3 linked regions of the Anolis sagrei genome follow. The protein of the gene in region 1 binds, or shares a complex with, the protein of each later gene. Links are inferred from orthologs where the notes say so. Each region holds a gene or a part of one and is shown on either strand. Other genes may lie near its edges.

The links.
Region 2: CDK9 (region 1) and EAF2 share a complex: the UniProt entries of both Homo sapiens proteins name them as parts of the super elongation complex. The link is inferred for Anolis sagrei from reciprocal best matches to the Homo sapiens genes CDK9 and EAF2.
Region 3: CDK9 (region 1) and EAF1 share a complex: the UniProt entries of both Homo sapiens proteins name them as parts of the super elongation complex. The link is inferred for Anolis sagrei from reciprocal best matches to the Homo sapiens genes CDK9 and EAF1.

Annotation. Positions count from the first base shown.
Region 1 is NC_090031.1:16,133,713-16,145,042, reverse strand, and holds the start of CDK9 (cyclin-dependent kinase 9), read left to right. Parts: upstream 1-7,178; 5' UTR 7,179-7,182; coding exon 7,183-7,364; intron 7,365-11,330. Other genes in the region: SH2D3C (SH2 domain-containing protein 3C), read right to left, coding at 553-589. UniProt on the Homo sapiens protein: Protein kinase involved in the regulation of transcription.
Region 2 is NC_090021.1:222,036,049-222,046,661, reverse strand, and holds the start of EAF2 (ELL-associated factor 2), read left to right. Parts: upstream 1-6,283; 5' UTR 6,284-6,388; coding exon 6,389-6,491; intron 6,492-9,734; coding exon 9,735-9,829; intron 9,830-10,613. Other genes in the region: IQCB1 (IQ calmodulin-binding motif-containing protein 1), read right to left, coding at 926-1,055, 1,211-1,373, 3,637-3,748, 5,627-5,764. UniProt on the Homo sapiens protein: Acts as a transcriptional transactivator of TCEA1 elongation activity. Acts as a transcriptional transactivator of ELL and ELL2 elongation activities. Potent inducer of apoptosis in prostatic and non-prostatic cell lines.
Region 3 is NC_090026.1:80,126,161-80,136,594, forward strand, and holds the start of EAF1 (ELL-associated factor 1), read left to right. Parts: upstream 1-5,169; 5' UTR 5,170-5,254; coding exon 5,255-5,357; intron 5,358-10,434. Other genes in the region: tRNA N(3)-methylcytidine methyltransferase METTL6, read right to left, coding at 1,890-2,186. UniProt on the Homo sapiens protein: Acts as a transcriptional transactivator of ELL and ELL2 elongation activities.

The sequences.
Region 1 (11,330 bases):
GTTCTGTGTGCCAAGTTTGGTTCAACTCCATCCTTGGTGGAGTTCAGAATGCTCTTTAATTGTAGGTGAAGTTTAAATCCCAGCAACTACAACTCCCAAATGACAAAATGCACACACATCCCACACCGAATCCACCAGTATTCAAATTTGGATGTAGCGGGTATTTGTGCCAAATTTAGTCTAATGAATGAAGATACATATTGCATATCAGATATTTACCTTACGATTCATAACAGTAGCAAAATTACAGTTATGAAGTAGCAACAAAAATGATGTTATGGTTGGGGGTCACCACCACATGAGGAACTGTATTAAGGGGTCGCGGTATTAGGAAGGTTGAGAAATACTGTACAGATCCACCTAACCATAGTTTTGCCTAGCCCACATTTGCCTTGTTTGTTTGCCAGAAAAGACCTTGGCAACTTCATCACAGTCCAGGAGAGACTTTCCTCTTTCACACAGATGCCATTACTCTATAGAGATGTAATGCCGACCTATGTTCCAGCCAAGGCCAGAGTGAGCAAATCGGTGTCCTGCGGTGTGTTCACTTACTTTTGAAGCCTCCTCCCCTCTTCTGGCTTCCTTCCATGGTTTGGGTTCCAACGAAGGAGAAGAAATGTGCACCAGGCTTACAACTTTCATCAAGCCCTCTTGGCACCGAGCCTGCCTTCCTTTCCCACCCTCTCCCCCCGCCCTTTCTCGCTTTCTGTTTTGCTCACATTTCCTCTGCACTTGCACAACCCTACTCTCTGCGTTTGCTTTGATCCTTTTTTTAAAAAAAGAGAGAATGAAACTCAAGAAAGGAGAGGGAAAAAAAAGGCACACGATGCTTCTGCGTGCCCTTTCCCAACACTTGCTCCTTTGGTTGTAAGACGTCAGTGGTCCATCGCGGATTCTGCCAAAATTATTTTTCTTTTAATGGGGGATTCTGGGAGCTAAAACCCCAAAATTAAAAAAAATCTCAAACTCCTGGTTCATTTACCTCCTTTCCCTCCTCCTCCTCCTCCTCTTCTTCTTCCTACATCCCGGTTACATCCCAAATAGATTACTGCAATGTACTTATCCCGAACAGTAATCCCGAATAGATTATTGCAACTATTACTGCTCTGGTTACATTCCGAATAGATTACTGCAATGCACTCTACGTGGGGTTGCCTTTGAAGACTGTTCAGAGACTTCAACTAGTCCAACGGGCAGCAGCCAGATTACTCACCGGAGCGCCATACAGGGAGCATACCACCCCCCGGCTGCGTCAGCTCCACTGGCTGCCGGTCCACCTCCAAGCACAATTCAAAGTGCTGGTCTTGGCCTATAAAACCCTATATGGCTCCGGCCCAGCTTACTTATCCGAACGTATCTCTCTCTACGTTCCACCTCGTAATTTAAGATCTACTGGGGAGGCCCTGCTTTCGGTCCCACCGGGGTCACAAACGCATCTGGTGGGGACGAGGGACAGGGCCTTCTCAGTGGCGGCCCCTCGCTTGTGGAATTCGCTCCCCAATGAAATTAGATCGGCGTCCTCCCTCCTCACTTTTAGGAAAAAACTAAAGTTGTGGTTTTGGAGTCAGGCTTTCAGCTAGTGGTCTTAGCAGCACTTAGACACTGAACTGGACCACGGGATTATGACAATAGTAAACGGATATGTGATTTTGATTAGGCGACTACATTAGTATATGACTATGTGATTTTAATTAATGTTATTGTTAATTTTTTATGTATTTGATTTTATGTTGTTGTATTGATATTATGGCATTGAACTGTTGCCCATGTCAGCTGCCCTGAGTCCCCCCTCGGGGGTGAGAAGGGCGGGGTAGAAACGATGTAAATAAATAAATAAATAAATAATAATTCTTAGTGTTTGTCCCATCAATTTGCAGGGTCTGCTTGTTTGCTTCTTGTTCTCCACTTGTTCCTATCGGTCACTTCTCTCATTTTGAGTCTTGCTTCAACCATGTTGTTGTAGATCAGCCACCAGAGGCTGATGGCTTAACTGATGGTTTAGAGAGGATTGTGCGCTTCCCTGTGGCACAAAGTGATGGGCTCTCAAGTCTGGGAAATTCAAGTCTGGGGAATGATGGTTCTCTTTGTGAGAAATCTGGCTTCGAAAGTGCAAAGCCTCAAGGTATTCAGAGTAGTCAAAAGTAGCAACAGCAGCTAAGGAATCGAGTGAAGAGTTGAGTAAAGAGGGCTACCATTAGAACCCAGGTGTAGTTACAGAGATCAACAAAGGTCTTTGTTTATAAATCAGAGCTGAAAATTCAGAGAGATTACGTGGGAAAGCTGTGAAGGAAATTCACAGGAAACTGAATTATTTCATGGGTGTCTATTAAGCAACAAGTTGTTTACCTTAAGGTCAGTTCAGGCAACTACATTAGTGAGAAACTAAGCCTGAGTTCTTTTGTTCTTGGATCAAATCAAGCCTTGATTTTGGATTTGATATTCTGAAAGTTTTCTATGTTCCTGTTCATGTACTCCTTATCAAGTTTTACTAGTTATATCTTCTTGATTGTGGACTTATGTTGTATCTATGAATTATTTCATGGGTGTCTATTACATACGTTGTTTATCTTAAGTTCAGGCAATGCTGCGTTAGAGTGAGAAGCTAAGCCTGAGTTCTCTTGTTCCTGGTTCAAGTCAAGTGTTAATTTTGGAAGTTTTCTATGTTCCTGTTCATGGGCTCTCAAGTCTGGGAAATTCAGGTCTGAGAAATGATGGTTCTCTCGGTGAGAAAACTGACTCGGAAGGTGCAGGGCCTCAAGGGCAGTCAGGGGAGCCAGAAGAAGCAGCAGCAAATAAGGAATCAAGTAAAGATCTGAGTGATAAGGAGGGTTCCCATGGGAATCCACGTATAGCTACAGAGATCAACAAAAGTCTGTGTTTATAAATTAGAGACAAAAATAGATTGTGTCGTTCAGAGAGATTACATGAGAAAGTTCTGAAGGAAATTCACAGGAACCAACAATTTCATGGGTGTCTATTAAACAACAAGTTGTTTACCTTAAAGTCAGTTCAGGCAACACTACGTTAGAGTGAGAAGCTAAGCCTGAGTTCTCTTGTGCATACTGTATTTTTTTTACTTCCTTTTTCCAAATTGAATTACATACAGTGAGTCCTCTGTATCTGCAGTCCCCAGATCTACAGATTCAACCGTCAATTTCATATAGACAATATACGAAATTATTAGTAATTAGTAAGTTGTATCTAATTCATAAATTTTGGATATGCCAGGCATGGGTAAACTTTGACCTTCCTACCAGATGTATTGGAATTCCCACAATTCCTAACAGCCCCAGGCCCCTTCCTGTTCTCCCTCAGTAGCTTAAGTTGGAGGATTGATTGCCCCTAAAGAAAGACACATAACGGACCCATGACTGTCATTTCAAGCTCTGTGGAAACTAAATAGCCCCTTGAAACTGGACAGGGTCCGCCAGCCTTCAAATGGAGCCATTGTTAGGCCTCTTATCTGATGAGAGATCCTACAAAAAAAGGGAGAAAACATCAGCCTGGGGAGAAAGGAAGCAAGGAAGCGACTCAGCCAAAGAGCAGAGTGGAGCACCAGGAGCACAAAGGTCACTCCGCCCCCAGTGCCCCTGCGGGATGGAACAGGAGCTGTGCAACCATATCTTAAGGGCACTTCCCTTTTCCCCATGGAAAAATACATCCCAAGGCATGTGTCCTTGTTGTTGTGTACCATCATGCTGACTTCTGCTTAAGGTGGCCTTCTCATAGGGATCCCTTTGCCATTACTTATTCAAGGAGTGTGTTGTCGTAACCGAAGGCTTCTATGGCCAGAAGCACTGGTTTGCTGTGAGTTTTTTTGGCTGCATGTTTCGGAAAACCAGAATCTCCAGAATGTCCAGGGTGGGAGAAAGAACTCTTGTCTCTTGGAGGCAATTGCCCACCTTGATTAGCATTGAATGGCCTCGCAGCTTCAAAGCTTGGCTGGTTGCTGCCTGGGGGATCCTTTGTTGTGAGGTGTTAACTGGCCCTGATTGTTTAATATCAGGAATTTCCCTGACATGAAACTAATATCGAGCAAGAATTTAGGGGTCTTTGCCAGGAGACAGAGACCAGTCAGACCCACCAAAGAGAGTCCGTTCACCCTGGCAAGACAGATAGAAGCACCCAAAGAATTTTCCCTGATTTTTCCCGATAAAAGTTTCACCAAATTGAAGAAAATGCCATCAAATTGCCCTTATTTTGTTCCAGTTGGTACGGATGTCAAGCTGCAATCCCTTGCCAAAAACTGACATGTTTTGCAAGACAGAACAGTACATTTTTATAGAGAAACAGAGCTGTCAAATTCAAACTTCCCGCCCCCGTCCCCCTTAGCCGGCTTCACGCTGATTGGTTGGAGTCATCAGCTAGAGGGGAGGTGCGGCCGGCTTAGGCATGCCTCAGCCAATGAGAAAGCCAGCGCCGCTTCGGCCTCTCAGCCAATGGGTAGAAGGGAGGCAGGTAACAGGAAAAAAAATGAAGAAATGTCCTTTTGATTGGTTTAAATTATTAATGTTTGCAAAATAGGGGATTATGAGATCATTCCAACCTGGTGTCCTTGGTAAAACTATGAATTCCTTGGTTTTGAACCATCTTTTACAGAGTCCTGGGGGAGGGGGAGGTCACCTCCAATATCAAAACCAGCCAAGCTTTCAAGCTGCAAGGCCATTAAATGCTAATCAAGGTGGTCAATGACAACATTACCCATTTGCTTCAAGCAGACAAGAGCTCCTTCTCCCACCCTGGACATTATTCCACAGATCTATAAACCCCACTTGTCTAGTTTCCAACAGATCTCACAACCTCTGAGGATGCCTGCCATAGATGTGGGTGAAATGTCAGGAGAGAGTGCTTCTGGAACATGGCCAGACAGCCTGGAAAACTCACCACAACCCAGTGGTTCCAGCCATGAAAGCCTTCGACAACACAACAAAGGAGTTAATTTCCAATTTACTAACATCAGTGAGGCTGATAATAGCGAAAAATTGGAAATAAAAACATGATTTTCAGATAGAATAATAATAATAACAATAATAATAGAAGACTGGTACAAAGAAGTGTGGAATATAGCAATAAACGATAAATTGACATAAGACTAAAAAATAATTTGGAAATTAAATGTTTTTTGGAATATATGGGGGAAATTGATAGCACATGTCTGTGCTGAAGGGCAAGGAAGCAAACCTGCAGTGTAAACAATGATGTTTTGGAAATAATATATGAAGCGGTTAGGTCCAGGAGGGGACAGCACCCATCTTTATTTAATTCAAGGAATTTATGTTGTGGATAATATGTTAAAATTGGTAAAAACGTTGAAGCTCAACTCAACTGTGCGAAAACATAATAAAAGTTATGAAAAAAAAAACTAGAAAGACAAACAGAGGATGCCTCCAGGCAACAACAGCCAATAAATACCCTCACTGATTGACTCAGCAACTGCAAGGCCACTCAATACTAATTGCAACATTCACCAGCTATTGTCGAAGGCTTCCATGGCTGGAATCAGTGGGTTGTTGTAGGTTTTTCGGGCTATATGGCCATGTTCTAGATGCATTCTCTCCTGACGTTTCGCCTGCATCTATGGCAGGCACCCTCTGAGGTTGTGAGGTCTGTTGGAACGAGGAAATTTGGGTGGACATTCCACAGATATATAAACTCAAATTTCCTAGTTCCAACAGACTTCACAACCTCTGAGGGTGCCTGCCATAGATGCAGGCAAAACGTCAGGAGAGAATGCTTCTAGAACATGGTCATATAGCCCGAAAAACCTACAACAACCCATTCACCAGCTAACTCCTCCCAACAAAGGATATCCCCAGGCGGCAACCAGTCTGGGTTAGAAGCTGCAAGGCCATTAAATGCTAATCAAGACAGCCAATTGCAACATTCACACTTGCCACAGACCAGGGTTCTTTCTCCCACCCTGGGCACTATTCCCGAAGGAGACTCAATCCCGAAGGGGACTCAGAGCGGTTTACAAGATATATCTATATAAATAAAAATGTAATGTTTGTTTGTGGGATTAACAGAACTCAAAACCACTGGACGAATTGCTGCCAAATTTGGCCACAAGACACCTAATAACCCAAGGAGTGACCATTACTCAAAAAATTAATTTTGTCATTTGGGAGTTGTCATTGCTGGGATTTATAGTTCACCTACAATCAAAGATCATTCTGAACTCCACCAATGATGGAATTGAACCAAACTTGGCACCCAGAACTCCCATGACTAACATGGGCATTGATCTTGAGTTTGGGAGTTGTAGTTCACCTACATCCAGACAGCACCGTGGATTCAAACAATGATAGATCTGGAACAAACTTGGCACGAATATTCCATATGCACAAATATGAACACAGATGGAGTTTGGGAAAATAGAGCTTGACATTTGGGAATTGTAGATACTGGGATTTATAGTTTACCTACATCAAAGAGCATTGTGATCCCCACTAATGACAAAATTGGGGCAAACTTCCTGTGCGTGTGTGTGTATATATATATATATATATATATACACACACACACACACACGCACAGGAAGTTTGCCCCAATTTTGTCATATATATACACGCACGCAACACACATATATACATACATACACACACAATATTATTAGCATACATACTCTCCACTTGCCTCACTGACAAAAGAACCTCAGAGGATGCCACTGACCACAGATGCAGGTGAAACGTCAGGAGAGAATGCTGCTGGAAGATGGGCACACGTTCCAAAAAAAATCACAGCAGCCCAATCATAATAATTACTCATTTCAAACTTCCTGCCTTTACTGTAAGCCAGGCTTTCCCTGTGTCTTCGATCCCTCTTTCCAAAGCTTTGTTTTCCACTGAGTCTAATGAAGGCCTCAAGCGGACTTGCAACCTTGTACTCTACTTTTCCCTCAAAGTGGTATCAATATTCCTATATAAACATATGTACTATTATTATTAGTTAGGATTGCTTTCTGTCATTGCAATATTATTGTTGTTGTTTTCTACCATTGCAATATTGTTGTTGTTACTTGGGAGAGCCAGACAGGCCAGAGGAGAAGCAGCTGCAATCCTTCCCGCTCATTTCGCCGCCCACTTCCGGACTCTCGCGCAAGCCCCGCCCCCTTCTCGAACTACGACTCCCGGCGTGCATGGCGGCGGCGGCGGAAGCGGATTACCGGAAGTGGCGTCCCGGATGGAGGCGAGGCCGGGCGGAAGTGCAGCCGCACGCCCCTCAGACGGAAGCCGCCGGCAGCCAGAAGAGGTCGGGGTCGCCAGTTCTGCCATGGCCAAGCAGTACGACACGGTGGAGTGTCCCTTCTGCGATGAGGTCTCCAAGTACGAGAAGCTGGCCAAGATCGGGCAAGGCACCTTCGGGTGAGCACCCTCCCCTTCCTTCCTTCCTTCCTTCCCTTCTCTCAAGCAGGCCTAGGCCAACTTGGGCCCACACCAACTCCCACAATCTCTAACAGCCTTCCGGTGCTTCGATTGTGCATTTTCCGGGGTCTCTTCCAACTCTATTACTACTACTACTACTTCTACTACTAATAATAATAATAATGAGGCTGGGTGGCCATCGGTGGGGGGTGCTTTGATTGTGCCTTTCTTGCATGGCAGAAGTTGGACTGGATGGCCCATGGGGTCTCTTCCAACTCTATTATTATTACTACTACTACTAATAATAATAATAATAATAATAATAGTGAGGCTGGGTGGCCATCTGTCGAGATGCTTTGATTGTGCTTTTCCTGGATGGCAGAAGTTGGACTGGATGGCCCATGGGGTCTCTTCCAACTCTATTATTAGTACTACTACTACTAATAATAATAATAGTGAGGCTGGGTGGCCATCAGTCGGGTGTGCTTTGATTGTGCCTTTCCTACATGGCAGAAGTTGGACTGGATGGCCCATGGGGTCTCTTCCAACTCTATTATTAGTACTAATAATAATAATAATAGTGAGGCTGGGTGGCCATCAGTCGGGTGTGCTTTGATTGTGCTTTTCCTGGATGGCAGAAGTTGGACTGGATGGCACATGGGGTCTCTTCCAACTCAATTATTATTATTATTGCCACATCAGCACTTTTAATTCTGTACCCATTACTCTAGCCCGGCCCAGTTTTATTGTGTTTTGGTGTATTGTTTATTGCTTGTTGTTTAATATTGCTTTAATTGTTTTTAATTTGCTTTAGGTTTTGTATTGTTATGTTGTGTATTGAGACCTTGGCCTTTGTAAGCTGCATCGAGTCCTCCGGGAGATGCTAGCAGGGTACAAATAAAGTTAATAATAATAATAATTCTACTAATAATAATAATATTGAGGCTGGGTGGCCATCTGTCGGGGGTGCTTTGATTGTGCCTTTCCTGCATGGCCCATGAGGTCTCTTCCAACTCAATTATTAGTACCACTACTACTATTACTACTACTAATAATAGTGAGGCTGGGTGGCCATCTGTCGGGGGTGCTTTGATTGTACTATTCCTGCATTGCAGAAGGGGTTGGACTAGATGGCCCATGGGGTGTCTTCCAACTCTATTATTATAGAATCATAGATTTGAAGAGACCTCATGGGCCATCCAGAAGAAGCAGGAATATTGCATTCAAAGCACCCCTGACAGATGGCCATCTGGCCTCTGTTTAAAAGCCTCCAAAGGAGGAGCCTCCACCACACTCTGGGGCAGAGAGTTCCACTGCTGAACAGCTCTCACAGTCAGGAAGTTCTTCCTAATGTTCAGATGGAATCTCCTTTCTTGTACTACTACTACTACTACTACTAATAATAATAATAATAATAATATAGAGGCTGGATGGCCATCTGTTGGGGGTGCTTTGAATGCAATATTCCTCCTTCTTGGACTGGATGGCCCATGAGGTCTCTTCCAACTCTATGATTCTATAATAATATTGATTGTGCTTTTCCTGTATGGCAGAAGTTGAACTGGATGGGTCTCTTCCAACTCCATTATTGTTGTTGTTGCTTCTACTACTGAGAGAGATGTGATTTAGAAAATTAAATTCCCAATTATTACAAGTCCCAGAAGCCCTGTCTATAGAGAAAGAATGATTGTTCTCTGTGTTCTTTTTCAGTCAAAGATACAAGCAGTAAGTTAGGGGGTAAGCTCATTCCCTTACTCCTTAAATTTTCTCAGCCATGTAGATAAGCAACTTGCATATAGAGAAGCCACAGCTCAGGGTCAGACATTCCAACAGAATCATTGTTATAGGCTTTGATGTTAAAAACATAGAAGGACCAATCAAAAGTTGCCTGAGTGTTGAGTATAAAAACTTGGTTAAGAGAGCCACAAGGGGCGGGCAGTCTTTGTTCTTTGACCTGAACGGTCAAGGGCTGTCTGTCTCAATGCTGATCAGCTTGAAAATAAAAGACTTGTTGAAAAACCTCATCGGATCTCGTCTCCTCCCTGCCCTCTGGGCTCCATCACCTTAAATTGGTTTCTAACACAATTACTATTACTACTACTACTACTACTAATAATAATAATAATAATAATAGAGGCTGGGTGGCCATCTGTCGGGGGTGCTTTGATTGTGCCTTTCCTGCATGGCAGAAGGGGGTTGGATTAGATGGTCCATGGGATCTTTTCCAACTGCATTCTATGATTCTACTTTCTTCCTTCTCCAGCTCTGGAGGCCCTTCCACACAGCCCTAGAAATATAAATATATTGTATGAGAGAGTAAATGTTTTGGGCAACTGAAATAACACTTCTGAAGATCTATATATTTTGTGCATTGGCATAACTTTGTTCCTAACAGTTCAGAGAAATATCCAGGTATAGCAGTCTAACCACTGAGGGCCCTTCCACACAGCTCTAGAAATATAAATATATTTTACTAGCAGTCCCCTGCCACACATTGCTGTGGCCCAGTCTGTGTATATGTGTTTTGTGTGTGTGTATATTTGTGTATATGTTTACTAGCTGTGTCCTGCCACGCGTTGCTGTGGCATATAGTAAGAATTTTCGAAGAAGAGGTAGATATCTGGACTATTATGAAAGAGCAGTACCTACCTATTCCTCCCCCCCCCCTTTTTCCCCCTTCCCATTTCTCTCCTTTCTTCTCTACCTCTTTCTTTCACTCCTTCTTTCGCTCTTTGGTTTCATCCTTCCTTCTCTCTTTCCTTCCTTCCCTCCCCCTTTTTCTACTTCTTTGCCTCCCTTCTTCCCTCCCTGTTTCCTTCCTATATATTTTTGCATTGGCATAACTTCGTTGCTAACAGTTCAGAGAGATATCCAGGTATATCAGTCTAACCACTGAGGGCCTTCCACACAGCCATATTCCAGGATATCAAGGCAGGAAATAGGAGTCCCTGGTGGCGCAGTGGGTTAAACCCCTGTGCCGGCAGGACTGAAGACCGACAGGTCGCAGGTTCGAATCCGGGGAGAGTGTGGATGAGCTCCCTCTATCAGCTCCAGCTCCTCATGCGGGGACATGAGAAAAGCCTCCCACAAGGATGGTAAAACATCAAAACATCCGGGCGTCCCCTGGGCAATGTCCTTGCAGACGGCCAATTCTCTCACACCAGAAGCGACTTGCAGTTTCTCAAGTCGCTCTTGACACGACCAGAGAAAAAGGACAGGAAATCCCACATCATCTGAGGGTGGACTCTGTGTCCTTTACTATACACACTAGACAAGTTTAAAATGTGCAATACAAAAGTTAAAAGGCAATTAAAAAGCAATTAATTGGTAGCTGTGTGGTTACAAAAAATTAAAATATAGATACTGAAATGGTATGTGAAACTCACACAATCCCACCCACAGCACCCCCTGAACTAAAAAGGTCAGGAGAAGTTTTTGGAAAAAAACCCCCAAAATACTGGAATTAAATTAGAGGGCATCCGTTTCTAGATGGAAGGTGGTCCCAGTCAGGGTTGACTTCACGTGCCTTCCTCTTGGCACATTTCTCCCTTTTGCCCTCAATTTGTGCCTCTTCAAATTCCGCAGCACTGCTGGTCACAGCTGACCTCCAGTTACAGCGCTCAAGGGCCAGGGCTTCTCAGTTCTTTCTCAGTGTCTGTGCCACAGTTTTTAAGGCTGGCTTTAAGCCCACCTTTAACTCTTTTCCTGTCCATCAACATGACTTTTCCCGTTCTTCAGTTGGGAATAGAAACTCACGCTGAATCTCTTTCCTTCCGCATCCCGTCTTTCCAATAACATCCAAGCAGATTGTAAAGCCAAGGGCTGGCTGTAACAGTGGGTCTTTCCTTCATTGTTGTTGGTCTCCCAGCAACAGATGTTCTGGAACAGCCTGGCTGTTGACTGTTGGTTGGCCTTGGGTTTTCCAGATTCTCTTGAACAGGCATGGGCAAACTTGGTCCCTCCAAA
Region 2 (10,613 bases), on another chromosome or scaffold:
GCCTAGCACTACATACTGATCAAAATCTCTTTGTAAACAATCACTTCAAACCCCTAGAGCTGTGGTTCTCAACCTGTGGGTCTTCAGGTGTTCTGACCTACAACTCCCAGAAATCCCAGAAAGTTAACCAGCTGTTAGGATTTCTGGGAGTTGAAACCAAAATATATGAGGACCCACAGGTTGAGAACCACTGCCCTAGAATGATCTATCCACCTCCCGCCAATCCACTGGGCAAAGAGGATGGAAGGGAAGTACACAGAGAAGGAGAGAAACAAGGAAGTTTGGTTTTGTGTGTCAGCTTAACATATAGACCGCCGGGAGAGAAGCTCACAATACAAAAAAGGTTGCCAAGGCCTCATCTTGTTCCATGACATTTAAGGTTTTGTCCCTGTTATGAGAAAGTAAAAGCTACAGTTGGGTTAGTTGATGAGTCACATCAGAAACTAAGTAGGTATATCTTGAAATGATCTCAAAATTAGCAGTTTCCAAATTTCTCAAAATTAGCAGTTTTGCAAACCAATCACTGGATATCTCTGATGTGATCTACCAACATATGTGTCCAGCAACTTTTACAGACACACATTGCTATGAGGAGTGCCAGAATTACTATATTATGAGTAGACTCACTCATATTAGTGCCATGGATGAATGGACTACTCCGTTTCTGAAACTAAAGTGAATCATGTTGTTCTGTAGGCCTGTCCCCATTCCCATATCTGGAAATAAAGAGCTGATTCAATTGCCTGAAACAGATATGTATCTTTAAAATATTTCTATTGGCTCTTTTCTATTGTGTTCAACACATTATTAACTCAATCTGTGCAGTAACACTTTTATTGTCCAGCACTGGTCCATGATTAACAACAACAGGCACGAGTTACAAAACAGTTCCACTTTAGAGCATTAAACCAGCAAGTTGAAATACCTTGATTGCACGGACAAATCGTGCCTGCAGGCGCCTTCCTAAGAAGAGAAGGTTGTCTACAGCAGATGGAAGCAGCTTATTGTAAAATTCCTCAGATTCTTCTTTCACCTCAAGACCCACACAACATATGCTGAGAAAACAAAACATATGCATACTTTTCCCCCCTTAGCATTTGTAGGTAATACATCCATATCTTGATTACACATACACGCCACACAAAAATTTAAAAACAGAAAAGTTACAAGTGATTCAGTAATAAAGCCGTATAACTACAAGATGCTTTACCTTAGTATCTCTGCTAACTGGGCAGCAGTAGTCCAACCTCCTAACACTCCTGTATAATCTTGCTTAAGGACAAATAGGCAGTATTGAACCAGATCATAATAGTATAAGTCTTGCTTAATTTTTTGTAATTCATTACTTCCAGGGACAACACTTGTTAAAATATCTAGGGCATAAAAACAAATGGAAACGTTCATGTTCCTGATTTATACAATAAAGGCTGCATTCACTTCATCACCACCACCACCATCATATTTATTTGTAACTCATCTTTCTCCCAGTTCATTTTGGTGTGGATGAACTGGGACTCAAGGCAGCATACAATTTGAAGAGAACAACATGACTAAAGACAAACAAAAAGTGAACAATAAAACTAATCACAGTATTTAAACAGTTCAAAGCTATACTTAATGAGATACAATTTAAAAGATTAAAACTATTAAAAATCATAGAGTGTAAAATAACACAGAACTTTAACCCATTCTTTAAAAACATATTCTTGAACAGTTAACATGAACTGATAATACAGTCCCACATTTCCTGCCTCTTCTGCCTTATTACTATAGCTGTTATCATATACTGAGGTATAACAATAGATGTACAAAATCAAGAAGAACGAGTTGGCATCTCACACCTAGAGTGCTTATAGCTGGATTAGGCAAACTGTGACCTCCAGATGCTATTGGTCTACAACTTCCCTCGGTTATCATGGTGGAAGCTTATGGGAGTTGCAATCCAATAATTATTTGCATTTACAAGTTGCCCAGCCTTGACCTACAGGTTAGATTTGATGGGCAAGGTAAGACAGGCAAAGCAATCAGGATAATGGCACAGACAAGACTTTAGCAGCACTGGAAGCACACCTAAGTAAAGATTAAGATGGTTCAGAAAAAGCTTTGAACAAGCATGAATTATAGCCACAAAACAAGACAGATACTGAAATGGGGTTTTGGTAATCAGAGGGTAAGACTTCCTTCTTCTGCACAGCTAGAATTAGCAATCTTTGCCCACAAAGACTTCCTTTACTGGAAAGTAGTCCTCTAGCAATTCAGAGTTCCTCTAACTATAATGCCTTTGTGGTTTTTCCTCAGTCTCTCTTGAGAATGAAATGTTTTTAAATAGGAATAATATTTGCCATGGTAACATAAAGAGAACAGAAGCCTTGTCCTAGTTTTTTTTTTCCTGTCAGGAGCGACTTGAGAAACTGAAAATCGCTTCTGGTGTGAGAGAATTGGCCGTCTGTAAAGATGTTGCCCAGGGGACACCTGGATGTTTTAATGTTTTACCATCCTTGTGGGAGACTTCTCTCGTGTCCCCACAGGTGGAGCTGGAGCTGACACAGGGACCTCAACCTGCTCTCTGGATTCGAACCGCTGACTTGTCGGTCAGCAGTCATGCTGACACAAAGGTTTAACCCATTGCGCCACCAGGGGCTCCTCTTGTCCTAGGTGAAATCTAGCAAACATATACATGCCTCATTGTTGCTCCATCTGGTCCCTAATTCCTGCACCTATTTTCCTTGAAAATACTTATAGGTTCTGTGAACAAACCCACATAACTCCCAATCAGGGTTGACTATTCTTATTAAATGCATTGTATTAAAATTAATGTACCTGTAGTATATGGCCTGATCACCGGCAATACAGACAAGGACCAAATATGATAGACTTAGTTATTTGCAAATGATTTTTGTTTAAGACCTTGGTCCTTGATGACTATATCATTCTTACAGCTACTCTATTAGGAAGGGACATAGGAAGAACTAACTTACTCCATGCTAATAAATTCTCTTGCTTTTCTAACCCCAAATCAAGTTTTATACTCATACTCATAAAATTTGGAGCAAAACATCAAAGAAGCACAGGTGTTATTTCAAAAACCGTCATCAGATAGAGCACTGTGATAATGAATTTTGAATTTATCAAATGTATTGTTGTTTAAGCTTTGTGTTTTTTTATTTTTATGTATTTTGAGTCAGTACTGTATTATATCTGAACGGCATTAAATTGTTGCCTAGCGTTAGATGCTCAATGAGGGGGAAAGGCGGGAAATAAAACAAAGTAAATAAATAAATGAAATAAATTTCAGGTTCATTTGTTATATAAGAGGCTTTGTACATATTTGTCTCATGTACATATTTGTCTTGAAGTTAAAACAGGAATGGAAAATGTGTAGTGTGGGTTTCATTTTCAGTTCCCAGACCTTGCTTCCCAGAAAAGCAATTTCATTTTGAAAGAAGATGCATACCTTGTTATAAAAGAAAAAGCCTAATGTTGAGATGACTACACCTTGATGTAAATGGGGAAAATGCCCCCCCCCCACCCCCCGCATAAGATGTGACAGTATTACCAAGGGACCTATGGCACTAGAGATTTTAGGATAGATTAGTAGAATATTGTCAATTCCTAAGCAAATAAATAAATACTTACCTTTTATCTTTAGCAGTAGCCCAGGGACATCCTGACCTGAGCTTTCAGTGACCTGGGCAGCCAGTGACAATATTCTGGGATCCACAGGTAATGGCTTCATTTCATAGGACAGCTGTATTTTAATAAGAGAAAGGAGGACAAAACCAGCAAGATATTTGCCTTCGGTTGGAGAAGAGTGGATTAGATGATGTGTCTAATAAAATTAACACCAGATATGTTCTGAAGGCAAATGTCATTAAGAATCTCACAAATTCTGTTTTCTTAAAGATACTTTCATCTTTTTACCTTTATAATATTGGTGAGCCGGGGGAGTTGTCCCACTCGCAGCTACAGTTGAAAATATACTTTTATGGCAGATTCATTCCCTAGCATTTTCAGTTTAATGGGTTCGCATAAAAGATGCAGAAGTTTAAGATCAGCTGTCAGTCAGAACAAAGAGACCTAGATTTGACTGTCAGTAAATCATTTCCAGATAATTTCATATACTGTGATTCACCAGGTATCATTTATAGAATTATCATCAGATAATTGCATGCCTCCAAAACTGAAACAAATAGCTTTTTATAACTACAAGAATATTTTGTCATGTCAATTTATTATTTTAATGTTATAACCATAACTATTTCAACACATGAGAGCAACCCTTCCTTCCCCACCAGTTCGACTCTGCAAATAGATATGCCAAATGTAAGTATGAACTCCTTGTATGCTAAACCACCTGCCCTATTTGGGCTTTCTTATGCCCCTTCAACACAGCTCAATAAAATCCCACATTATTTGCTTTGAACTGGGATATATGGCAGTGTGGACTCAGATAACACAGTTCAAAACAGATATTGTGGGGTTTTCAGTCTTGATATTCTGGGTTATATGGCTGTGTGGAAGGGCCACCAAATTAACAGTTATGGGGAAAGCGGGGTTGGACTACAAGGAGTGTTGAGGGCAGAAGTACTAAAGATGTTTCTCAGAGCCCTTCCACACAGTCACATAACCCAGGATATCATGGCAAAAAATCCCACAGCATTGGCTTTGAACTGAGTTATCTGAGTCCACACTGCCATTTATCCCACTTCAAAGCAAATAATGTGGGATTTTATTCAACTGTTTGGAAGGGGCCTCAGTTAACAAAGCCTCTGTTGAAGATGCCCCTTATTGGCAGTCTTTTTAATTCGCATTCACCTCGCTTTTTTCTCATTATCCTGTCTAGCTGGAAAGGTTGTTTAGCTGCATCAGCACTGGAAGGCTCTTAATGATATACTGGAGAATGACACACATTTTCAGTGTCAGGTTACAACAAAATATCAGAAATACATATAATAAAGTGATAGCGGCGAAAGTATGATAGCTGGGACACAATGCCAAGACAGCACAACGAGTGAGAGACACAGCTGTGACAGAGTCGTGGCAAAATAGTTTGCCAGAAAGGGGGGGGGGGGGGAGGTCAACAAATAGCCAAGCATACTACTTAAGGCTATCCGGATATCGTATGCAAGCACGTTCAAATATGTAACGTCTTCGCTTCTCTAACTGACCCTCGTCACGCAACCAGAATTGGGTCCCAGCTATCATACTTTTGCCGTGATAGCTTGGAAAAAGCTGGATTCTATACTCCATGGGATTATTATAACTGTTTGTGCCTACCTACAGCAGGCAAGGGAAACAGCAGGCCCCAGAATCCCATACTGAGCATTTGAAAACAATGCAACAGAGACAACGGGGAAGCAGATAAGATAAGTTAGGTTAACACCAACATGCTAGCGCAAAAATAGATATGGAAATTTGATAAGGAGTAGAGATTGGTAAAAGAAAAAGCCATCTCTGGATGCATTTTGCTCATAATAAGGGTGGCCTGGAGGCCTCTCCTTCACAAGGGGTGCATCTACACTGTAGAATTAATGCAGTTTGATCCAATTGAACTGCTATGGCGCAATACTATGGAATCCTGGGAGTTTTCGTTTGACAAGGTCTTTCAAGAGCGCTGGGGCCTCACCAGGCTGCAATTCGCGGGATTCATTCCACAGCATTGAGCCGCTGCACCTAAAGTGGTGTCAAACTGCATTAACCTTGAAGGAGCTGGGAGCTGGGGGTGGTAACGGCCGACAGGGAGCTCTGGCGTAGGCTGGTCCATGAGGTCACGAAGAGTCGGAGACGACTGAACGAATGAACAACAACAATAGATGCAGAACACTAATAAAGACCGTTGAAGCCGCACTCCTTTAGAAGACCTGGAGAACAACGTTTCTTCTCAAGTTATCTTCAGGTATCAAGGCATTCTTGATCCACTTCTCAACCGCTTCCGCTCCCGACCGGAAACACTAGTGAGGTTTCCCTACCAACGGCCAGTTACCATGGTGAGGGCACAAGGAGCCCACCAATCAGCAGCGCCGCCATCCTCGGAGCGAGACGCCACTGCCCGTCGCCCCGCCCTAAACCACCCTAATTTGCATAAACAGCATTCTCTCGCGCTCCGGGAGTTTCAACCTTTCTTCATTCAGCGACAGTGGCAGTGTCGCTAACCAATCAAAAAAGCCACAGTTCTCTTGCGTCACGCTTGTCCCCAGAACGGGGCGGGACGTATCCAGGTGGGCGTGGTGTCGGCGCAGTCGCCCAATGAAAGGAAGGCAGGAGGGGAAGGGGGCGTGGCCTTTGTGAGCTGTGTGGCTTGGCTGAGGCGGGGCGGGCAGTTGTGGCAGCGCTAGGCAGCGCATCTCTTCGAGAGTGACCAGAGCGCAGGACTGCGTGTGGCGGGGGGATGAACGGGGCGGCCCCGCCGCTCTTCGACTGTAAGGAGCGCATCCTTCGGCTGGGCCAGAGCTTCGAGAGGCAGCCGCGCTGTGCCTTCCACACCGTCCGCTGTGAGTGAGGCTGGACCGGCGTTCAAGCTGCCAGGAGGGTCTGGGACTTCATTTCCCAGAAGCCTTTGCCACCTTTTCCGACGGCCAGGAATTCTGGGATCTGAAGTCCAGAAGGGCTGGAATGTTCAGAATTCTTTGATCACAGTGATGCTGGACTTCAACTCCCAGAAGCCTTAGCTACCTTGGTCAATGATGAGGGATTCTGGGAGTTGAAGTCCAAAGCACCTGGCTGGCCAGAGCTTGGGAAACAGTGTAGATTTCCCTGGGTTGTCACCATACTCCAAATCCTAGGGTTCTATAGGATGGAACATTAGCAGTCGAAGTGGTGTTAAACTGCTATAATTCTGCAATCTGGATTGAGTGAGGGTGAGAAGCAGAAGGTAAAAGAAAGGACTGTCGAGCAAAGCGCTGGATCTTCGGATTTCAATGGGGAGGAGAGTTCAGAAGATTTTGGGAGAGGAGGAACCTTGAGCTATTTAACATAATCAGTATGCAAAGGGATCTTGTGTCACCTTTGAGACTGATTGGGAGAAATAAATTGTAAGCATAAACTTTTGTAGTCACCTGTTGCATGGAGTAGAGTGACTTTTATGAGCAGACAATGTGAAGAGCTGGGTTGCTGTGAGTTTTCTGGGCTGTATTGTCATGTTCCAGAAGCAGTCTCTCCTGGCGTTTCACCCACATCAATGGCAGGCATCCTCTGAGGTTGTGAGGTCTGCTTGAAACTAGGCAAGTGGGGTTTATATATCTGTGGAATGCCCAGGGTGTCTGTCTGAGGCAAGTGTGAAAGCTGCAGTTGATCAGCATTGAATAGCCTTGCAGCTTCAAAGCTTGGCTGCTTCCTGCCTGGGGGAATCCTTTGTTCGGAGATGATTAGCTGGCCCTGATAGTTTCTTGTGTGAAGAACCATAGAAATGCAAAACTTGTGGCATGTTGATGAAGTGACAAGTTCGGTTTTTATAACAGCCATTATTCGGAGATGTTAGCTGGGGACACTGGTGCCAAAAATAAAGCGTGAGACTTATGACTAGATCCAAGTGTGAATCCCAACTATACATTGGTATCTTTTTCAAAGCAGGGAAGTGGAGCCTCATCATTTGGAAGTTTTTAAGCAGAAGTTAGATGGCCATCTGTCAGGGGTGCTTGGATTGTGTGTTCTTGCATGGCAGGATGGGGTTGAATTGGATGGCCCATGTGCTCTCTTCCAATTCTATGATTCTATAAGAAAAGGGGTATATACATAATACACAAAAGAGAAAAAGCAGCATATACATAATAATAATAATAATAATAATAATAATAATCAACATCTTCATAATTGGTGGCACTTGCATAAATATTAACCAAATTCACATTCATTAAAAGGATATTGCTGAACTTATAGTTGGGTCTAGAGCAGGCATGGGCAAACTTGGGCCCTCTGGGTGTTTTGGACTTCAACTCCCACAATTCCTGACAGCCTACCGGCCAAAGTTTACCTATGACTACTCTAGAGTAACGGATGCTTGAGATAGGACGCACTTTGCATATTACTGGAATCCTGAGATCTGTTCAAAATCTTGCTTGCCCTGAGCTTTCTTCATTTTGAGAGTACCATTCATGACCCTGTTACAGTAGTCATTTTGTTCCTACTCCTTTTAAATAAGTGGAAGTCAAAAAATAATTGGTGGTCTGTTGAAAGTTTCTTTGAAATTTGTCAATTTATCATCTTTATTAATTCATCTAATACTGGTCTTTAAATGTGAAGAATATTGGCAATTTGTCCTTAAATGAGATATTTTGGGTACAAGGGGAACTATAGACTCTATCTGTGTTTAGTTAATTTATTTGAATGAGCAAAAATTGCTCTTTTTTGCAAAAGCAGTGAGAGTATGAGGAAGGAGTAAATTGATTTTGAAAAACTCCCATATTTGTAAGGAAAGTATGGAAAGTACAGTGGCATATCAGGTTAAACCGCTGGGCTGCTGAACTTGCTGGCAATTTGAATCTGGGGAGCTGGGTGAGCTCCCACTGTTAGCCCCAGCTTCTGCCAACCTAGCAATTCGAAAACATGCAAATGTAAGTAGAGCAATAGGTACCGCTTCGGCGGGAAGGTAACGGTGCTCCATGCAGTCATGCTGGCCACATGACCTTGGAGGTGTCTACAGACAACACCAGCCCTTCGGCTTAGAAATGGAAGTGAGCACCACCCCCCAGAGTCGGACACGACTAGACTTAATGTAAGGGGAAATCTTTATCTTTCCCTTAAGTATGGAGGAACTAGCCCCTGTGTTGATGTTAATCTCATTGAGAATATCACTTTCATCTGGTGGTTTCCATTATTTGCAATAATCTACAGTGCTTCTAAGAATCAAACACAAGGGAAAAGAGAACTTGGCAAACTTAAATGGGGAACTACCATTCTGTGGTTTTGGGAAAGGAACATTAGAGCCGTCGCAAACTAGGTTCCTGCGGGAGAAAACCTTGCTAGCAAGTCCCTGACGTCATGAGCCTGCGCCTCTCTCCCCGCCCCTTTCTCCGCCCCTTTCTCTTTGCCAGCGTGGTTTTTCCTTTGCTAGGGCAGCATTGCCCGCATTTTCTCTCAGTTGAATTCAGCCAACTGAGAGAAAATGCGGGCAATGCTGCCCTAGCAAAGGAAAAACCACGCTGGCAAAGAGAAAGGGGCGGAGAAAGGGGCGGGGCGAGAGGCAGAGTCTCGTGACGTCAGGGACATGCTAGCAAGGTTTTCTCCCGCAGGAACAGAGTTTGCGACGGGCCTTAGGATGCCCGGAAATTGCCAGATGTTAGCCAACAACAGGTTGTGCCACATAAACCTAAAAAGGCATCCTAACAATAGCTTACTGTGGCATGAGTTATTATAGTACAGCATCTGAGGGCTAGCCCTAAACACACACACACACACACACTGTGTGTGTTTGTGGATTGTGTAGTTCTCTACCATGCTCTTTAATCTTGACGTTTCTTCTATTTTTAGCAGATTAATCCTATTTTTAGCAGATTAATTCAGGCAGATTAATTGAATTTAGCAGATTAATTCAATTTATTTATTTATCAAATCACGATTCAGTAAGAATAGACATTAACATATCTAAAACTATGCACTTTTGGTTCAACATGGCAAATCAGCCAGCAGTGGAAAAGACACCAGGGGAAAGATCCCGCATTTCCCTCCCTCTTGTGACCTGATCAGTGTTGAAGTCCTGAAAAATATTGTCATTGTCTGTTTTCCTCTTTTTTTCTTAGATGACTTCAAGCCTGCATCCATTGATACATCTTCTGAAGGAGACCTTGAAGTTGGTAAAGGTGAACAGGTGACAATAACTTTACCCAATATTGAGGTAAGTTTTCTTCATACCTAGGGAGAAGAGGTGTAGTTTAAGTCTTAAATCATAATTACTTTTAATACTTGAAGTATGAAATAAAATAGACTTTATTTCCATAGAGCCCCCCAGTGGTGCAGCGGGTTAAACCGCTGAGCTGCTGGACTTGCTGACCGAAAGGTTGGCGGTTTGACTCTGGGGAGTGAGGTGAGCTCCCGTTGTTAGGCTCAGCTTCTGCCAACCTAGCAGTTTGAAAATATGCAAATTTGAGTAGATCAATAGGTACTGCTCCGGCGGGAAGGTAGTGGCGCTCCATGCAGTTATGCTTGCCACATAACCTTGGAGGCGTCTATGGACAAAGCCGGCTCTTCGGCTTAGAAATAGAGATGCCCCACCGAGTCGGGCATGATTAGACTTAATGCCAAGGGGAAAACTTTACTATTGTTTCCATTCTTGACTACTTAGAATGGCAGCCTTTTTGAAACCATTATGAACTTCTTGTTTAAAGGAGAGTTGAAGAATTTGAGACAATTGTTAAATGATGAATCCTAATAACAAAGTGCCTTGGATGAATTAAACTATGAAAAGTACATAATTTGGGCTCTGTTTATATTTTAGGTTCTAAATAGCTTCACTGTAATTTTACAAAAAAATGCCTTTAAAACACAGTATCTGGTTTATTCAAAAACTTGTGTTTGTACAAGGTGGACCAAAAGTCACAAAAGGGTTGTAATATTTAATAACACCTTTTTTGTTTTTGATTTACAATGCCATTGCATCATATACTGTATTTTTAGAGAAT
Region 3 (10,434 bases), on another chromosome or scaffold:
TACTAAGAATATTTTAATAAAAATTAAAAGACCAGGCAAATACCATAATTCAAGTCAGAGTTGTATGTTGCAGAGTGTTAATATGTGTAGTATGGAATGGTTTTTTTTTCTTTTAAAAGGATGGCTAAGCTATATAATAAAACTTTATTTATATTCCGTCCTACCTGCAAATCCAATCTCAGATCCTTCTGCTCTGTTATTCAAGAATGCTGACACAGTTACCAATTAATTGCACTATAATCTTTCAAATAGCTCTAAAATATTACAGCCTTACAATGCAATGAATCTTTTTACACACCCAACATGAGAAGGAACTAGATTAATTCAAGAGAATATTTTCAAATCTACCTCTTGACTGAGTCTAGGTTCACTGCTATGAAAAAAAGAATGTGATGTAATCTGTTGAGGACACATTTTAAGCCAAATTTTGCCAAATTCAACTGAAATAATTTATTTGTATCTCTATATACCATTTTTTACTCAGAAAGCATCAGTGAGTTTTGGGAATGGACTCTTAGTTGTCCATTCCCAAGGCCTTATCAAATTCGCTTCCTTTGATTTTTAACATTAGACACTTCCAAAAAATATTTATTAATTTATACTGGAAACACCTGAAGCATGACTGTTGTCCTCCTAATAGAAAAATAATTTCTAAAACTGATTTATTCTACAACAGCTTTGGAACTACACTAGTTCCAACACACCTTTATACAGATAATGTAAAGATATGGTATCACAAACTTATCTAACTTTGAACCAAGGTATGTTGTACAACATTGCTGCAACAAAATATACGACCCATTGGCAATCTTGTGCCTTTAAGATGTAGTTAGAGTACTAGAACAATTTGTGCCTTGACTGCTGCTTGGGGATGATGGGAGGTGTAGTCGAAGGTGGTTAGGTTGGGAAAAAGGAAGAGAGACTGCTCAAACTCCTGGACTACTGTGCTCTTCCAAAATGCTAAATCAAGCTTTACAACATGCAGCTTTGATCAGACGTGACAGCTCCTTTATGACAGTAGGACTTCTGAATAAGAAGCTATTGACTGACAGACCTAAAATATATATGTGAAGGGTTGGTACACCGCATCTCATCACAGAAACTACAACTGCTGCATCATGGGATAAATGAAGCACATCTCTTTTGCCTGAAGCCCATGACATTCACATAAAATTGTACATCTCAGGATAAAACTACAACTGCCTACAGTCTTCCAGCAAAACAAAATACTTCTATAGTAGCTCTAACTTGAGATGCTTCCATGGAAATTATGGATCACTCAGGCTGTTGTTGGACTATAACTCCCAGCATTCCTTAACCCTGGAAACTGTGGTCTAAAAATACTTGGAAGTTTCTAGTGCTGAAAAAGGAGATTTTGCAACATTTCCACTTGTTTTTCCTCCATAATAGATCTTTTTCTAATAAGACAAAAAGGTAGCAGAAGCAACCAAAAATCATAGGATAGTTACATATAGAAGATGATGCATTTGGGCCCTCCAGGAAAGACGATCCAGAACTTGGAATGCTACTTTTGAAAAGTAATTTGCTAGTGCTGTTGGATTTTCTGTTTCTGTTTGTGTGTGTGTGTTTTTAAATAACTTGTGCCTAATTGTGATTCATTACTGGTTAGTTACATTTTATTTACTTTTAAAAATGTACTTTGTAATACTAATAAAAATAAAAAAAAATGACCATAAATCTCCTGAAATCAGTGTTTTGGATCAAAATAACACAGGTTATTCCAAAAAGCAACACTGTTACAGTTACTTTTAAGGTTACTTTTCCAAGTAAAGACACTGCCAACACCATGCTCTATAGGTAATGTAGTTATTTGGCACAAGTTACTTCCAAATTGGGCAGCAAAGCCATCTCTGGAAGATGAAACTCACTTCACGGCAGGATTTTAGTTCTTCAAACTCTCTTGTTGTCCAGTGTCTATCCTTGAAAAAATTTGTGCTGTTCCTTTTGTAAAACAAGTCCCAATTCCTTTGTGCTTCTTTCTCAAGCTTCTGTTGCTTGAAATCAGATACTACGACTGGATCTTTGGCCAGCCTTTCAGCTTCTTCGGGGCTAAGCGTTCTCATCTTATGTCCTCTTCTATGGAAACCTCCATTTTCGAGATCTGATATTACCCCATCAAGTTCAGCTGCAGATGACTCACTCTGGAGAAGCCTCAATTCGTTCATTTCGATTAAAGGAGGAAGCGCAGATTTGTAGTCACTGCATTCCTTAATCGCATACTTCTAGGAAAGAACTAGATTCAAGACGACAACAAGGGAAAGGTTACCATTTTATATCTTCCACTTGAGAACACAGCAAAATGATAACAGGATCTTCATGGTGATTCATTTCCCTATAATATCACTTTTTATAAATATAAATACATTTTTATGCAGAAGAAAAAAGCAAAAGAAGAAACAATGTCAACAGCAGATGTAAGCCTCCCACAATAGATTGGGATACAGTAACCTTCCCTAACCTGTTGTCTTCTAATATGTCAGATCTCAACCACAAAACTGTGCAATTCGGGGGAGAAAAATAAATTTAGGAAAACTGCTATACAGGCAGTCCCTAAGTTACGAACAAGATGGGTTCAGTCGGTTTTTTCTGAAGTTGAATGTACATGCATGTTGCAACAGGTAAATTTTAAAGTGTAAGTCCGGATTATTTATATATATGTGTGTGTGTGTGTGTGTGTATGTGTACACACACACACACGCTGGTGGGTCAAAATGTTTTGTCTCCTGTGTCATAAAATGTTATAAATGAACATATAACAGCAGAAGTTGCAACCAATCATAGCCTGAACTATCCTCTACTCAAAACTACAGTTCAACATAGTCACCATCAATTTGCACATATTTGTGGCATCATTTAACCCAGGCATCAAAACCATTTCAGAAAAATTCAGGGTTTTGCTTCATGACCCATGATTTTAAAGCTGTTTTAACATCATTCAACCCATTGAATCTGAAACAACGTAGGTTGTCTTTCACAGGAGCTCTGGCTTCTCTGTGTAGTCTGACACTGAATGACGTTAAAAAAGCTTTAAAATCATGGGTCACAAAGCAAAACCCTGAATTTTTCCAAAATGGTTTTGAAGCTCAAATGAAGCTTTCTCACCAATCCCTGTTTCCACAACAAGCCACATTTTCCAGAGGGACAGAAAATGAGGTGAAATCTTCTGAACAGAGGCCCCGTTCACACAGCTGAATAAAACCCCACATTTTCTGTGAAGTGGAATATATAGCAGTGTGGACTCAGATAGCCCAGTTCAAAGCAGATATTGTGGGATTTTCTGCCTTGATATTCTGGGCCATATGGCTGTGTGGAAGGGCCCAGAGACACAGGATGCAAAACAAACACCACTGGGGTGTCAACCCTTCCCTATGCGATCCAAAGCTTTTATATATGAAATATATATATGCAGGCAGTCCCCAAGTTGTGAGCAAGATAGGTTCTGTAGGTTTGTTCTTAAGTTGGATTTGTACTTTTTATCAAGTGTTACTCCAGCCATATATTTGTGTGTGTGTGTGTGTGTGGCTAGAGTTAGACCAGGCATAAGCATACTTCGGCCCTCCAGGTGTTTTGAACTTCCAACTCCCACAATTCCCAACATGTTAGGAATTGTGGAAGTTGAAGTCCAAAACACCCGGAGGGCCGAAGTTTGCCCATACCCGAGTTAGACTTTAAAAAGTATCTGTTCTGACTCAGGGCCCTTCCACACAGCCCTATATCCCAGAATATCAAGGCAGAAAATTCCACATTATCTGATTGTAGATTCAGGCCCCTTCCATACAGCTGAATAAAACCGCACATTATCTGCTTTGAACTGGAATATATGGCCGTGTGGATTCAGATTCCCCAGTCCAAAGCAGATATTGAGGGATTTTCTGCCTTCATATTCTGGGATATAGGGCTGTGTGGAAAGGTCCAATATCTGCTTTGAGCTGGGTTATCTGAGTCCACACTGTCATATAGTCCTTTGCAGAAGCATAGGAGAAGCTCGGCCTGTCATTAAACATTGAGAAAAACAAAGTGCTCTTCCAGCAGTTGACAGTCAGCCCCTCTCCAATGCCAGAAATACAGCTTAATAGTGTAACCTTGGCAGCTACCTCTCCACCAAAGTCAACATTGACACTAAAATACAACATCGCCTGAGCTCTGCAAGTGCAGCTTTTTTCCAAATGAAACACAGAGTGTTTGAGGACCAGGACATCCATAGGGATACCAAGGTGCTTGTTTATAAAGCTATAAAACCGCCGACGTTGTCCAGATGCCCGACCACCGTCTCCCAAAGTAGTTGCTCTACTCCGAACTCAAGAACGGAAAACAAAATGTTGGTGGGCAGGAAAAGAGATTTAAAGATGGGCTCAAAGCCAACCTTAAAAACTCTGGCATAGACACTGAGAACTGGAAAGCCCTGGCCCTTGAGCACTCCAGCTGGAGGTCAGATGTGACCAGCAGTGTTGTAGAATTTGAAGAGGTATGAATAGAGGGCAAAAGAGAGAAACGTGCCAAGAGAAAGGCGCATCATGCCAACCCATAGGGCTCCACAGTCACCTACGGACCTACCGCCAGGACACCGATCTTGGAAGACAATCCTACTAGGACAATGAGGGATCACCTAAGAAACTAACATAGTCCAGTTCAAAGCAGATAATGTGGGATTTTATTTAACTGTGTGGAAGGGGCCCTTGTTCAAAGAGGATATTGTGGGATTTTCTGCCTTGATATTCTGGGTTATAGGGCTGTGTGGAAGGGCCCTGAGTCCACACTCAGATATTGTGTGATTTTCTGCCTTGATATCCTGGGATATATTAATGTGTAGAAGGGGTCTTTGAAACAAATTCAACTTAAGAGCAAACCTACAAATCCCATCTTGTTGGTAGCTTGGAAACTGCCTGTAATTCTACAGCGGTGTCTCTTCTTTTGCCTTCCTAAAAGGCCTCAAGAGCTACAAAGCCGCCCCCACCAACACGCACCGCTCTCCTGAGGCGCTCTGTCCATGCTCAGAGGCGCCCTTGACTCATCCAGGCTCATCCTCCCTCTTCTTCTGTGGGATCTTCTTTCTCTCTCTTTCTGCGAGGCCTAAGCAGCCTGCTCGCCTTCCTGCCTCCTTGCCAAGCGGGGAACCCTTTCGCGGTGACACCAAGCCCGGAAGAGAAAGCGAAGGGAAGGGAAGGAGGGAAGGGAGGAAGAGAGGGAAGGAGGCAAACGGCGACCGGCATCGTCGTTGCGGCCTGCGGAGGCCATGAACGGCTCGGCGAACCCGCTGCTGGACAAGGAGGAGCACCCGCTGCAGCTGGGAGAGAGCTTCGAGCGGCACCCCAAGGCCTCCTTCCACACCATCCGCTGTGAGTGGGACCCGGTTTACTAGGCCGCGATGCGCACAGGCCTGTTTCCTTCGGCCTTTGATTTGGGACACAGGCGTTGGAGTGGCTCAGTGTTTGGGACTTCAAGCCCCTTTGGTTTGGTGGCATCTCCATTTGAGGGTTTGTTTTAAAGGGGGGGGGGATGTATAGAGTGTTCCCCAAAGTCACAATCAATAGAGGAAATGTAACTTTTGTTTACAAGGTACTCACTACCAACTCTTCTCTACCCTTCCTCGAAGCCTTCTCTGTCATTCATATCTATCTATCTATATCTAATATAAATAAAAATGTAATGTTCGTTTGTGGGATTAACAGAACTCAAAAACCAGTGGGCGAATTGACACCAAATTTGGACAACATACACCTAACAATCCAATGTATGTCCTTCACTCAATTTTTTTTGATTTTGTGATCTGGGAGTTGTAGTTCTTGGGATTTATAGTTCACCTACAATCAAAGAGCATTCTGAACTCCACCAATGATGGAATTGAACCAAACGTGGCATGCAGGACTCTCATGACCAACAGAAAACACTAGAAGGGTTTGGTGGGCACTGACCTTGAGTTTGGGAGTTGTAGTTCACCTACATTCAGAGACCACTGTGGACTCAAACAATGATGGATCTGGACCAAACTTGGCACAAATATTCTATATCTCCAAATATGAACACATTTGGGAGTTGTAGTTACTGGGATTTATAGTTCACCTACAATCGAGCATTCTGAACCCCACCAACAACAGAACTAGGGTAAACTTCCCACACAGAACCCCCATGACCAACAGAAAATACTATATATATAAACCCCTTTTCCTAGTTCCAACAGACCTCACTACCTCTGAGGATGCTTGCCATAGATGCAGGCGAAACGTCAGGAGAAAATGCCTTTAGAACATGGCCATATATTCCGAAAAAACCTACAACAACCCAGAAAATACTGTGGTTTTTGGTGACCCTTCTGACACCACCCTGGTGACACCCCCCCCCCCCCCGGTCTTGACTTCCCAGGTTGAGAAATGCTGCCTTAAGGCCATCCAGTCCAACTCCCTTCACCAGGGCAAGAAAACATAATCAAAGCCCTCCTGACAAAGAGCCATCCAGCCATTCACACACACATATATGTATAATGACAGATGCAGTATCAAAGATTTGAAAGGGACCCCTAAAGAAGGACAATGATATGTTGCATGTCCAGAGTAGGCAAACCAGACAATCTCCACATCAACACTGACAAAGAAACAACAAGAAATACTTTTAACCCACAAGCATAAAGGCATTACATATATTAGAAACCAACATTGTCTCATTACTTTATTTTCCAGATCACCAGACAGGGCCACAGCAACGCGTGGCAGGGGACCACTAGTACAATATATAATCTAAGGCAGGCCTGGGAAAACTTTGGCCCTCCAGGTGTTTGGGACTTCAACTCCCACAATTCCTAACAGTTGTTAGGCCCTCCAGGGAGTTGAAGTCCCAAACACCTGGAAGGCCAAAGTTTGCCCAGGTTTGATCTAAGGCCCCTTCCACACAGCTGTATATAATCCACATTGAACTGGATTATATGGCAGTGTGGACTCAGGGCCCTTCCAGACAGGCCCTGTATCCCAGGATCTGATCCCAGGGTTTCTGTTTTAAACTTGATTATATGAATACTCACTGCCCGATAATCTGGGATAATTCTCTACAAATTGCACTTTTCATTGCTATCTCATCCAGAGGTTTATCATTTTATGCCATACATTTGGCCCACCCATTGTGTTGGATTTTCTATTATGTTATATTGTATTATTTATTTTATTTGATTGGTTAATTTTTACTGTGATGTTATTTTGTTGTTTATATTTTATGTTGTTGTAGTGTTTTGCTGAGCTTGGCCTCATATAATCCGCTTTGAGTCCCCTTTGGGGTGATGGTGGTGAGATAGAAATAAAGTTTATTGTTGTTGTTGTTGTTAACAGAAAACCTGGGATCAGATCTTGGGATATAGGGCCTGTCTAGAAGGGCCCTCAGATAACCCAGTTCAAAGCAGATATTTTGGATTATCTGCCTTGATTTTCTGGGTTATATGGCTGTGATATAATACAATTTTCTCAATTTCTCCCTCTATGTATATAGAGACATTGGGGACACTACCTGGCTTGTAAAGAGTCTGCCTTGAGTTCCTATACTGTACTATTTATAATGGTTTTGTATTGTATTTGTATTTTTTATATTTTATTGCTGTGTTTTGTTGTATATTGATGTATTGCATTGTTGGGCTTGGCCTCATGTAAGCCGCCCCGAGTCCCCTTGGGGGAATGGTGGCAGGGTATAAATATTTTTAAAAAAATATATATCATTATTATTATTAATCTGTAATAAACAGAAAACCTGGGATCAGATCCAGGGATATAGTCCTACATTGCCATGTAAAAGACAGATTATCTGCTTTGAACTTGATTAGATGGCAGTGTAGGCTCATCTAATCCAGTTCAAAGCAGATAATGTGGATTATCTGCTTTGATAAGCTGGATTATATGGCAGTGTAGAAGGGGGCATAGTCTCTTCCATCATAAAATGGAGGACAGGGGGAATGTAGCAGCACCTTTGACTTTGGATTTTTTCTATCAAACAATTTCAAGCCATGAGTAGTTAGACCTATGGATGCAGTTGTGCAGAGGGCTGGCTGGTAACAGCCTTTTATTTTAGCATGAGCTTTCATGGACAGCAACCCACTTCTTTTTTTCGTTAAAGATGTTAACCTTTAAGTAAAGATATATAGAAAAAAGATAGAATCATAGAGTTGGAAGAGACCTCATGGGTCATCCTGCCTAAAAGCAGGAATATTGCATTCAAAGCACCCCTGACAGATGGCCATATATAGAAAAAAGTTTTAAAAGGAAATACAAAGAAGTAAAAGGAAGAAAAACATGACATAATTATTCATATCTCACTTTCTAACATTAAGACAGTTTCTCTTTTTTCCTACAAGTAATTCCTTCTAATCTTCAGAAGGTTACTAGGTCTGTTTTTTTTCTTCTGGTTATTGTTTTCAAGAAAGCCCATAAGGAGTTTCCAGCAAAAAGAACCCCATTATGATCAAACAGATATGAACCCACTTCTTCACAACTCACTTTGTACTGCAACTGAAGCAGAGAGTTGATAACCATGAGAGCTCATGCAAGAATAAAAACCAGTTCGGCCCCTTCCACACAGCTAAATAAAATCCCACATTATCTGCTCTGAACCGGGTTATATGGCAGTGTGGACTCAGATGGACCCAGTTCAAAGCAGATATTGTGGGATTTTCTGCCTTGATATTCTGGGTTATATGGCTGTGTGGAAGGGCCCTTAGTCTTAAAGGTGCTGCTACATGCATACTGTAGTTTCAGGTCTCTGAAAAATGGAGGAATGAAAACCACTTTTGTTCTTTTTGATTTCCTGAGGAGTTTGCCTTCCCTTTTACTAACCCTACTATTATTGTACCATCAACAGCTTCATAACCAAATATTTAGGTGGTGCTGCCTTTCCTGTTGTGAGAATAATTACTTGGGAAAGCTGGGAATAATTGTTGGGAAAGGTGATTGGGCTGCTGTTCAAAACTCAGGAGCTGGACTACTAGAAAGTTGTCAGTCCTCTCATTCCGATTACAAGCCCGATTGCCAGTGCCAAGATGGAAAAGTCAGCAGTTTACAAAAGAGTGGCTGTAATTGCTTGCAGCAGCGAAATCAAGGCCCATATGCGACTTGTTGCAGATTAAATTGGTGTTAAAACAGTAGTGAGAGGAATCAACTAGGATATATAAACCCATTTCCCTAGTTCCAACAGAGCTCACAACCTCTGAAGATGCTTGCCATAGATGCAGGCGAAACGTCAGGAGAGAATGCCTCTAGAACATGGACATATAGCCCGAAAAAACCTACAACAACCCAGTCAACTAGGAAGTTGGCATCCTGGACTTGAACATGTTTCTGTGAAACACATTATCGTTTGGAAGATTGTCCTTCTCCATCTCAAAGTGTGATCACTTATCTTTCTCCCTTTATCACATTGGATTAGCATCCAGTAGGTTGCTGTTCATTTTTCCAGACAAAGGACTGTATGTAAAGTAGAATAAACAGCCAGGTTTGCCAATTCCTGTGGTGATTACAGTGTACTGCAGACATCAAATCATATTAATGCTTATTCAATAACGTTAGAAATTCCATTTGATTTCTCTGGAACAATCTGCTGTTAAAAGCAGGAAAAACGGGCCAGGCTGCATCATTTATTTAGGTCAGCAACCTGCCTAGAGTTGTTAAAAACTAAGAGAGAAGGAGTCCTTTCACACTGCAAAATTATAGTGCTAAGTTCCATTTTGACTTCCATTGTTCCACCCTATGGAATTCTGAGGTTTTCAGATGATGATAATAGTGGTGATTATTTTATTCATGTATAGCCTGCTTTTAATGGTAGTCAAGACAGCTTAAAATATATTTTGAAACACTAAAGAATTGTACAATACACTCCAATAAAATAAGATAAAATTAGAGGACAACTAGTCATCTACAACTAATGTGGATATTTTGTTTAGATTTATGTTATTACAGAATTTTGTCTGATTACATGTAGTTTAATTTATTGATGTCAGGTTTAATTTACTGATTGTAGGTCTTAATTTGATGTTAGGTTTTACTGTTACTTTTATATGTGGGGGTTTTCTGGGATTTTATGTTAGTATCATGTGTTTTTTGTAGGCATTGAATGTTTGCCATTGTTACTGTATGCTGGAATCTGCCCTGAGTCCTCTTGGGGAGATGGGGCAGAATAAAAATAAAGTATTCTTCTTCTTATTATTATTATTATTATCAATGTATAAAGTTTAAAAAAGCCCGATGGTACAAGAAGGTACAACTAGACAGTTCTCCCCAATGTAGAAGCCCCTGGGGGTCATAGGATGGGAATATGGTGGACACATTGTAGAATCATAGCACTGTGGTGTGAAATAAGGATGGGTAAGTTGTCCTCTGTTGTCAGACTTGTCCTTCTGATGTTGTTTTTCCTTGCCACTGACAGTGCTGAGTAAGGCACCCTGCTCCA